2 linked regions of the Cricetulus griseus genome follow. The protein of the gene in region 2 purifies or fractionates together with the protein of the main gene of each other region. This does not show direct contact. Links are inferred from orthologs where the notes say so. Each region holds a gene or a part of one and is shown on either strand. Other genes may lie near its edges.

Evidence for each region.
Region 1: the proteins of Champ1 (region 2) and Cbx5 purify together in Homo sapiens (affinity purification with mass spectrometry; 6 studies listed by BioGRID and IntAct, with this or other methods). This does not show direct contact. The link is inferred for Cricetulus griseus from reciprocal best matches to the Homo sapiens genes CHAMP1 and CBX5.

What each region holds. Positions count from the first base shown.
Region 1 is NC_048595.1:399,591,943-399,595,594, reverse strand, and holds part of Cbx5 (chromobox protein homolog 5), read left to right. Parts: intron 1-1,040; 5' UTR 1,041-1,082; coding exon 1,083-1,219; intron 1,220-3,652. UniProt on the Homo sapiens protein: Component of heterochromatin that recognizes and binds histone H3 tails methylated at 'Lys-9' (H3K9me), leading to epigenetic repression. In contrast, it is excluded from chromatin when 'Tyr-41' of histone H3 is phosphorylated (H3Y41ph).
Region 2 is NW_023276807.1:67,009,566-67,013,892, forward strand, and holds the start of Champ1 (chromosome alignment-maintaining phosphoprotein 1), read right to left. Parts: upstream 2,877-4,327; 5' UTR 2,740-2,876; exon of another isoform or gene 2,717-2,739; intron 1-2,716. UniProt on the Homo sapiens protein: Required for proper alignment of chromosomes at metaphase and their accurate segregation during mitosis. Involved in the maintenance of spindle microtubules attachment to the kinetochore during sister chromatid biorientation.

The DNA of each region.
Region 1 (3,652 bases), on a different chromosome or scaffold from region 2:
ATTCTTTTAAAACGATTATGGTTCAGCAGTGTGGGAATTTTTAAAACTAGATTCTCTGTTGAGCACCTCTGACTGCATATTTCTGAGCCTAATTTCCATTTGTGCTGCCTTGTCCTGGCTTTCCTGGGAGATGAATAGTCCTCTGTGTTCTGAGGAGGCTTCATGTTGATTCAGAATCTGGGGCCAGACTTCTTTCCCCTCCTCTTCCTTTGGCCCAAAGTCAACTTCAGTGAAGAGGCAAGGTACCTCCATAACTGTTTGGGTTAGTCGAGCCCTGGGAATTACAGACTAGTCCAATGACTAATTTTGAATTTTTTTCCCTCTGCCCCCTTTCCCTTCTATTCCCAAATGAGCTTGCTAAAAAGGAGGCTTAGTGTTTTTGAGCTGTCAGCCTTGTTTTTGTGAGCTGATGGACATGCTAAAGGGACAGACTCAAGTTGTTTAAGGGAAATGTACCAAGTCACTAGAAATGTGGTGAGAGATGGTTAACTGCCGTGTGTGTGTGTGTGTGTGTGTGTGTGTGTGTGTGTGTGTGTGTGTGTGTGTATGTACACGTACACGCTGAGAAGAGACTGACCAAAATGCTCAGAGTATGGAAAAGTTACTTTTGGGTGTTTTGTGGGGGAAGGTTTCTTTTTTTCTTTTTCTTCATTTTTATAAAAACATGTATTCGCCTCAGAGGAAAAGGATTTTTATTTTTTGGTTCCTTTAATTGAAGGTTTTCCACATTTTCCTTTGAGTTCCTGGCTCACAAGTAGATGCAGAAATGGTCATGAGTAGCATGTCATGCTACTTGGTTTTTTGAATATTAAAATTAAAGGAATGTGTCATCTAATTTGATCTCTTCAACTGAAGAGAAGTTGTTGTTAGGGAAATGTGGATTGACCCATTTTAAAATTAAATCTGTAGCCCTGTCTTAGAATAATTGTAGACCAAAAAGAAGGGTATGAGACTGACTAGTATTGTACCCTCTGTTCCATCAAGAAGTGGCAGTTATAACCCTCACGGATTGTAACCGTTTTATCTTTATCCCTTTTCAGGAACCTGGTGGCCTTAGTCCTTCAGGTGGATCAGCGTGCGACATGGGAAAGAAAACCAAGAGGACAGCTGACAGTTCTTCTTCCGAGGATGAGGAGGAGTATGTGGTGGAAAAGGTGTTAGACAGACGCATGGTTAAGGGGCAAGTGGAGTATCTGTTGAAGTGGAAAGGCTTTTCTGAGTAAGTGCTTTCTTTTTCAGGCATTAGGACTCTGTAGAGGTAGAAAAATTTACCCAGAGCCACTGTCTTTTTCCCATTTATACACTTTCATAAAAATCAAGAGAGTCAATAGACCACAATAGTCTCCCATTGTGGAGCTGATGTTTTAATAATCTTATATTTGAGGGGTAATTTAAGAAATTGGTTGGGAACACAAATTTGGGAGCCAGATAGTCTGGGACCAGATTCTTGTTCCACCCTTTAAGATATAGGTGGATGAACTTGGCTAATTTCTTTTATTTTTGTTATTTAAAAAATTCTTAGCTGGTTGGTGGCGTACACCTTTAATCCCAGCACTTGGGAGACAGGCAGATCTCTGTGAGTTTGAGGCCAACCTGGTCTACAGAGCTAATTCCAGGCCAGCTAGGGGTGTTATACAGTGAAATGCTGTTTTGAAACCAAAAAGAAAAAGAAAAGAAAAAAAAATATTTTCTTGCTGGGCTGGGTGATGATACACACCTTTATTCCCAGAAAGGGGGGGGCATGGGTTTGAGGCCAGACTGGTCTAAAGATAGTGTTCCGGGACTGTCAGGGCTACACAGAGAAACCCTGTCTCCGAAAACACACATAAATTTTTTTTTTTTTTTTTTTGTGTGTGTGTGTGTGTGTGAGTCTTTTACCTGCATGTATATCTGTATACTGCATTTGTGTTGTCTGGTGCCCACAGTGCAGAGAGCGCATCAGATCAGCTGGAACAGGAGTTGCATATGGTTGTGAGTGGCCATGTGAGTTTTGGGAGCCAAACCATGGTTCTCTGGGAGAGCAGGCAGTGCTCTTAAATACTGAGCTATTTCTTCGGTCCATTGTTTAATTTTATAATCTTTTCATTTTTTCCCCTTTAATAAAATAGGGACAAGAGGTGGGTGTAGTTTAATGGTAAAGTGCTTTCACCTAGCATACTCAGGGTTCTGGTTTGATTCTCAGGTATGCCAGAAAAAGAAAAGAAAAGAAACAGACAAAGACAGAGATAAGACATACATAGTACTTAGAGGTCTCAATGAGTGTGAGTAGACCACTTGTTATGGCAAGTGTGAGCATTTGAATTTAGATACTAGAACCCATGCAGAGTTAGGCACATGCATCTCTCCCTGTGGTCCCACACTGAGATTGAGACTGAAACAAGAGAATCCCTGGAAGCCTGAGGGGTAACTAGCCTGGCATACCTCGCAGTGAATAAGTTTAGAAGGTGGGGACCTACAACTGAGGTGGTCTCAGACTTCCAGTCATACACACCCACACTCATGCAGACAAACAGGAATATACACTTAATAGATACACATGTGCATATATAATAAACGATTTATGAAAAGAAGCCAAGGCTTTAATCCCAGCTCTCTGAGTCAAGTGGATCTCTGTGAGGTCCAGGTTAGTGCTGAAAGCATTGTACTACTATGCCCAGTTTATAACTAGCATTTCAATATAAGTGCTTTTTTGTTTGTTTAAATTTTTAATTTCTAAGGGGCAGGTCACTTTCACTTTCTTGTGTGAGTCAAAGTCTCTTGTTTTGGTTGTGAGCAGGATATCTGAGGCTAGCTTTCAGCCAGTTCTGTCTTTGCCCCCGCATCTTGCAGTAGGAAGACCAGCACATCCAGCTTTTTAGTTCCAGGGACTGAACTCTGGTCTTCAGGCTTGGATAGGAAGTGTATTTACCTACTGAGCCATTTTCACAGCCTGACATCACAACTTTATCTTTAGCAGAAGATATATAGCTCAGTAGTGGAGTGTTTGCCTAGTGTATATGAGGAATTGGGTTTTGTTCTCTTGGATTTTTGGTTTGGTTTGGTATTTTGTTTGTTTGTTTTTGTTTTCGAGTCAGAGTTTCACGGTCCTTGGCTGTCCTGGAACTAGCTCTGTAGACCAGACTGGCCTGGAACTCAGAGATCTGCCTGCCTTTGCCTCCCTAGTGCTGGGGATTGAAGGTGTTTGCTACCACCTGGCTGGGTTTTAATCCTCATTACCACAAAAAGCAAACAAAAACAAAATGCAATAAAAAACAACAGGTAGAAGTAAATTTGCTAAAATAGTCAATGTTTTGCCAGTACTTTAAAGTTAGGTCCCTTCAGGATCTATTGAAAGTTATTTCCTTTCATGATTTAACATTATTCTTATGGAGTACTGGGCATTTTAGGTAAGTTGATTCATGCATAACAGATTATTTAGCATCTGTTATACCAGAGTGCTGCTTTGTTTTTTGTTTTTTGTTTTTTTTTTTTGCTTCCAGACAGGGTTTCTCTGTATTGCTTTGGAGCCTGTCCTGCAATTTGCTCTGTAGACCAGGCTGGCCTCTAACTCACAGAGATCCATCTCCTGCCTCTGTCTTCTAAGTGCTGCAATTAAAGGGGTGTGCCACCAACACCCAGCCCATAGTGCTATTTTTATACAAGGTCTCATAGC
Region 2 (4,327 bases):
TTTACTTTTTGAAAAATTTATGTATCTGAGTACTTTGCTTACATTTATGTCTGTGCACTGCATGTGTACCTGGTACCCACAGAGGTCAGAAGAGTGCATCGGAACTAGGGCTACAGACAGTTGTGAGCTACCCTGTGGGTGCTGAGAATCAAACCTGGGTTTTCTGCAAGAAGAAGTTTTCTTAATCATTGAACCAGCTTCCCAGCCCCAGAAAAGTTTTATAAAATGCTTTATCATGAATTGGAACTGAAGGCACCAGCTCCCCGTTTCAGCAGCCATAGCAGCCGAACACCTTGCTTTGGTCACTAGGAGGTTAGGTGACTGCCTCGTGGCAGCAAACCAATCAGAAGTTAGCTGGTGGTGCCATGCTTTACGGCTCTGGGTGTGCTTTACGGACAAGTGCACAACAATGACACGCAGAGCAACCACCCTGGGAGAGCCTATCGGCCATAACAACCAGTTGACCAATCAACACAGGGCAAACCCTCCAAGCCTGGAGCCACACCAATCCTGAGCCTGTGCATACCCCTTGACACTCCCCTTACGCTGCCCTATAAGATCTCTATGCAGAGTCTTCGAGCTGTCTTTCCTAGCCATCCGCCATGGTGGGTGGATGAAAGACCAGCGTTAAACAACTACAATAAAGCCTCCTGCAGTTTGCATCAAACTTTCGACTCCATCTGGTGATTGGGGTGGCCAAGTTCCTGGACAGAGGTCCTGGGGGCCTGAGTTCCCGGGGGTCTTTCAGAACCAGGTGTTTTGTCGAGTAGTACAATGAGAAATTAGCAATCAATACAGGACCAAAATGACCTAGAGGACTTGGGCCCAACTTCTTCATTTCTCAGAGAAAAAAGCTGAGAAAGGAACTCCATCTTTTTAATTTTGTTAGCATTCTTAAGGGCTTTTTAAATGAAAAAAATTGTTTACCTTCAATACATTCTGATCGTGATTTGCCTTCCCCAACTCCTCACAGATCCTCCCCACCAACTCAACTCCATACCCTTTCTTGAGAGAAAGTAACTCTTAAAAGGCCCGATTCCGAATCTTTGCTAACAATGCCCACAGACTAGAGCGTAGATTCCAGCACTGCCAACACTAACTGCAAAAATAACCCACTAAAGCCGGGTGTTGGTGGCGCACGTCTTTGATCCCAGCACTCGGGAGGCAGAGGCACAGTAGTCTTCTATACAATGGTACATTATAAGGTATCTGTCTCACATCTACCCCACACACTTTCTTCCTTGAGACCAAATACTATTTGATAGTTGGGTCTTTTTTTTTTTTTTTTTTAAAAAAGACAAGGCCTTTCTGCATAGCTCTGCTGTCCTGGAACTCACTATGTTAAACCAGGCTGAATCTGCTTCTCGAGTGCTGGGGATTAAAGGTGTATGCCATCATGCCCAGCCTTATTGATCATCTTTTAAAAATACATTTTGGGGGCTGGAGAGATGGCTCAGAGGTTAAGAACACTGGCTGCTCTCCGAGAGGTACTGAGTTCAATTCCCAGCAAGCACATGGTGGCTCACAACCATCTATAATGGGATCTGATGCCCTCTTCTAGCATAAAGTCGATAAAACATAGCCATAAAATAAATAAGTAAATCTTTAATAATGCATCTTGATATTGAAAGTTTAACAATGAACACGTGTAAGCTGACTGGCTGTCGACACCCTGGGGAAAGGGAGCCTCAGATGAAGAGATGTCTATCTGATTGGTTTATAGACAAGAAAATGTGGGGCATTTTCTTGATTTTCAATAGATATAGGAAGTACCATCCCTTTGCTGGATCAGAAAGAGAGCAGAACTGAGGCTGGGAGCAAGCCAGTAAATAGTTTCACTCTGTGTTTTCTGCTTGAGTCCCTGCCCTTAATTCCCTCAACAGACTACCACCTGTAAGATGAACTCTTTCATCTCCCAAATTATTTTTGATCACACATACTATGTAACACTGTTCTTTATGAATAGCTGTTTTTTTTTTTAAGGTTATAAATTTTTGACTGGTTTTGTGTTTAAAAGAAAAACGAACAGAAACCACAAAGAACTCCCACGTTCCTACATATTTTTTCCGACTCTATTAACAATTTGCGTTAATTAGTGGGGTAATTTGTAACGGCTGATACTTTTTGTTCCCTAGTGCCGGGATGGAACCCAAGGCCTCACTCTTGCTAAGCAAGGGCTCAACCAGCGAGCCGCAACCCCAGCCTAATTTAGGACGTCCACGGTTTACAGGCGAGGCCGCTCTTGATGCTCCAGAGCGATTTGCGCATCACCTGTGCTCCATTGAGGTCCTCAGAGTAACTTCACTGCTCCGAGTTCCTGACAAGCACGATTGGTTTACCTGGGGGGCACCGAGCGACCTTAAGTTTAAAAGAGAGGCAACGCTGGGCTGGTCCCAATTTACACTCCGCGGAAAGTGCCAAAGGGTTGGCCCTTACTCGGAAACACCGGGCTGGGCTCCCGGGACAAGGCTAACCCCGTCGGTAGTCCACGTGGGGGTGTGGCTTCTGCTGAGGGTCACCGGTCCTTGGGGAGTCTGGAGAGCAGCTTTACAGCAAATTCGAGACCCACATTGGCCCCTCCAACCCCGGCCGGCCATCGAGGCGGCAAGCAGGAGGAGCCCACGGTACGCTCCGGCCTCCAGGCCGCGCCGAGAGCACCAAGGCGCCCGCTCGCCCTCACCAAGGCGCCCGCCCTCCCGCCTTCAGCAGCCCGTACCGAGGCGCCCGCCAGCTCCTCACCCTCGGGCGAGGTTCTTGGAGTGAAGAAGAGGAAACGCCCACATGAAACGCCGGCCGGCCGCACGGCCTCGGGAATGGCGGCTGGACCGAAGACCAGCCGGGAAGTATCGCGCGCTCGCACCGGAAGTGCCTTCGCGTGCCTCCGGGTCTCTCCCTCCCCCGGCCCCTAAGGTTCCCCAGCTGGGCAGAGCTGGGGGACGCAAGCGGTTCTACCCCTGGCGTGGGGTTCCTGTCTCCACGCCTTCTTTCCTTTTTTTTTTTTCCCCTCCTCCTTTTGTCTTTTGTTCCTTCTGCTGAAGGACGCATTCGTTGGCATATTGTCTTTAATAGAAATGCAAAATAAATACAAAGCTTTTAGAAGACAGTGAACAGGTTTCTTGTCTCCAAATTCAAATTCCAGAAATCGTCTTCATTTGCAGTTGCAATGAATTCGCCTTTACATTACTTAGTACACCTATGTAATTTCTTTTTTTTCTTTTTTCTTTCTTTTTTTTTTTGCTTTGGTTTCTTGTGTTTTGGTTTTGGCTAGAAATGAACCCAGTGCTTCCTCATTTAAGCACCCCATGCTGTCTAATACATAAAACATTCGTGGCTTTTGATTGGTTGGTTTGCTTTTCTTAAGACAGGGTATCTCCCAATGTAGTCTGAGATTCACCTGTCTCCGCCTTCCAGGTGCTGGACTCAAAAGCACTTACTTGCAACCACACGATCCCCTAAACCACTTTTGAGAATCCACTACTGACTACACTGAGTCATTATCCAAGGGTCGGCTGAATTCTTGGTCTTCTTTTTTTTTGGAGACAGGGTTTCTCTGTGGCTTTGGAGGCTGTCCTGAACTAGCTCTTGTAGATTAGGCTGGTCTCGAACTCACAGAGATCTGCCTGCCTCTGCCTCCAGAGCGCTGGGATTAAAGGTGTGTGCCAACACCGCCTGACTCACCACCACCTCCTTCTGTTGTGGCTCTCTGCATGTTTGGAATCAGCTCTTGTCAATCATTGGAGTTGGGAGATCTTGGAGAAGCTAGTAGAGAAGAAGAAGGGCTACTTGGCAACTCAGGGAAGTGAGATTCTGGAGAACCCAGGAAACCTATGGGTAGGGCACAGCAGGATCTATCAGAAGCAGAGAAGCAAATTTGGGAGAACTACGTGGTGAAAAGGAGCAGAACCTACCAAGTGGTACTGTGTACTGTTCCTTGTTAGGATACAGAAATGCAACTGATTTTGTGACCCTATATCCTGCTACTTTGCTAATTTATTTTATTAGCTCCTGAGAGTTTTGTGTGTGCATGTTTGGAATCTTCAGGAACATGTAAAATCATAAAACCTGAACACAGAGGCTTTTTAAATTTTGAATTCAATGTTCCTTGACGTCCTGGTTTGCTTCTTTGTTGCTTCGATAAAACACTAACCAAAAACAAGTTGGGGAAGGGTTTGTAAGATACTGAGGAAAGGCAATGAAGGAACTTAAGGCAGGAACTTGGAGTAAGCAGAGACCATGGGGAAATTCCTAGGATTGCTCTACTACCTTCTTTACACAACTCAGACCCACATGCCCAGGAATGGAACAGCCCACAGTCAGGGGTAGGGGT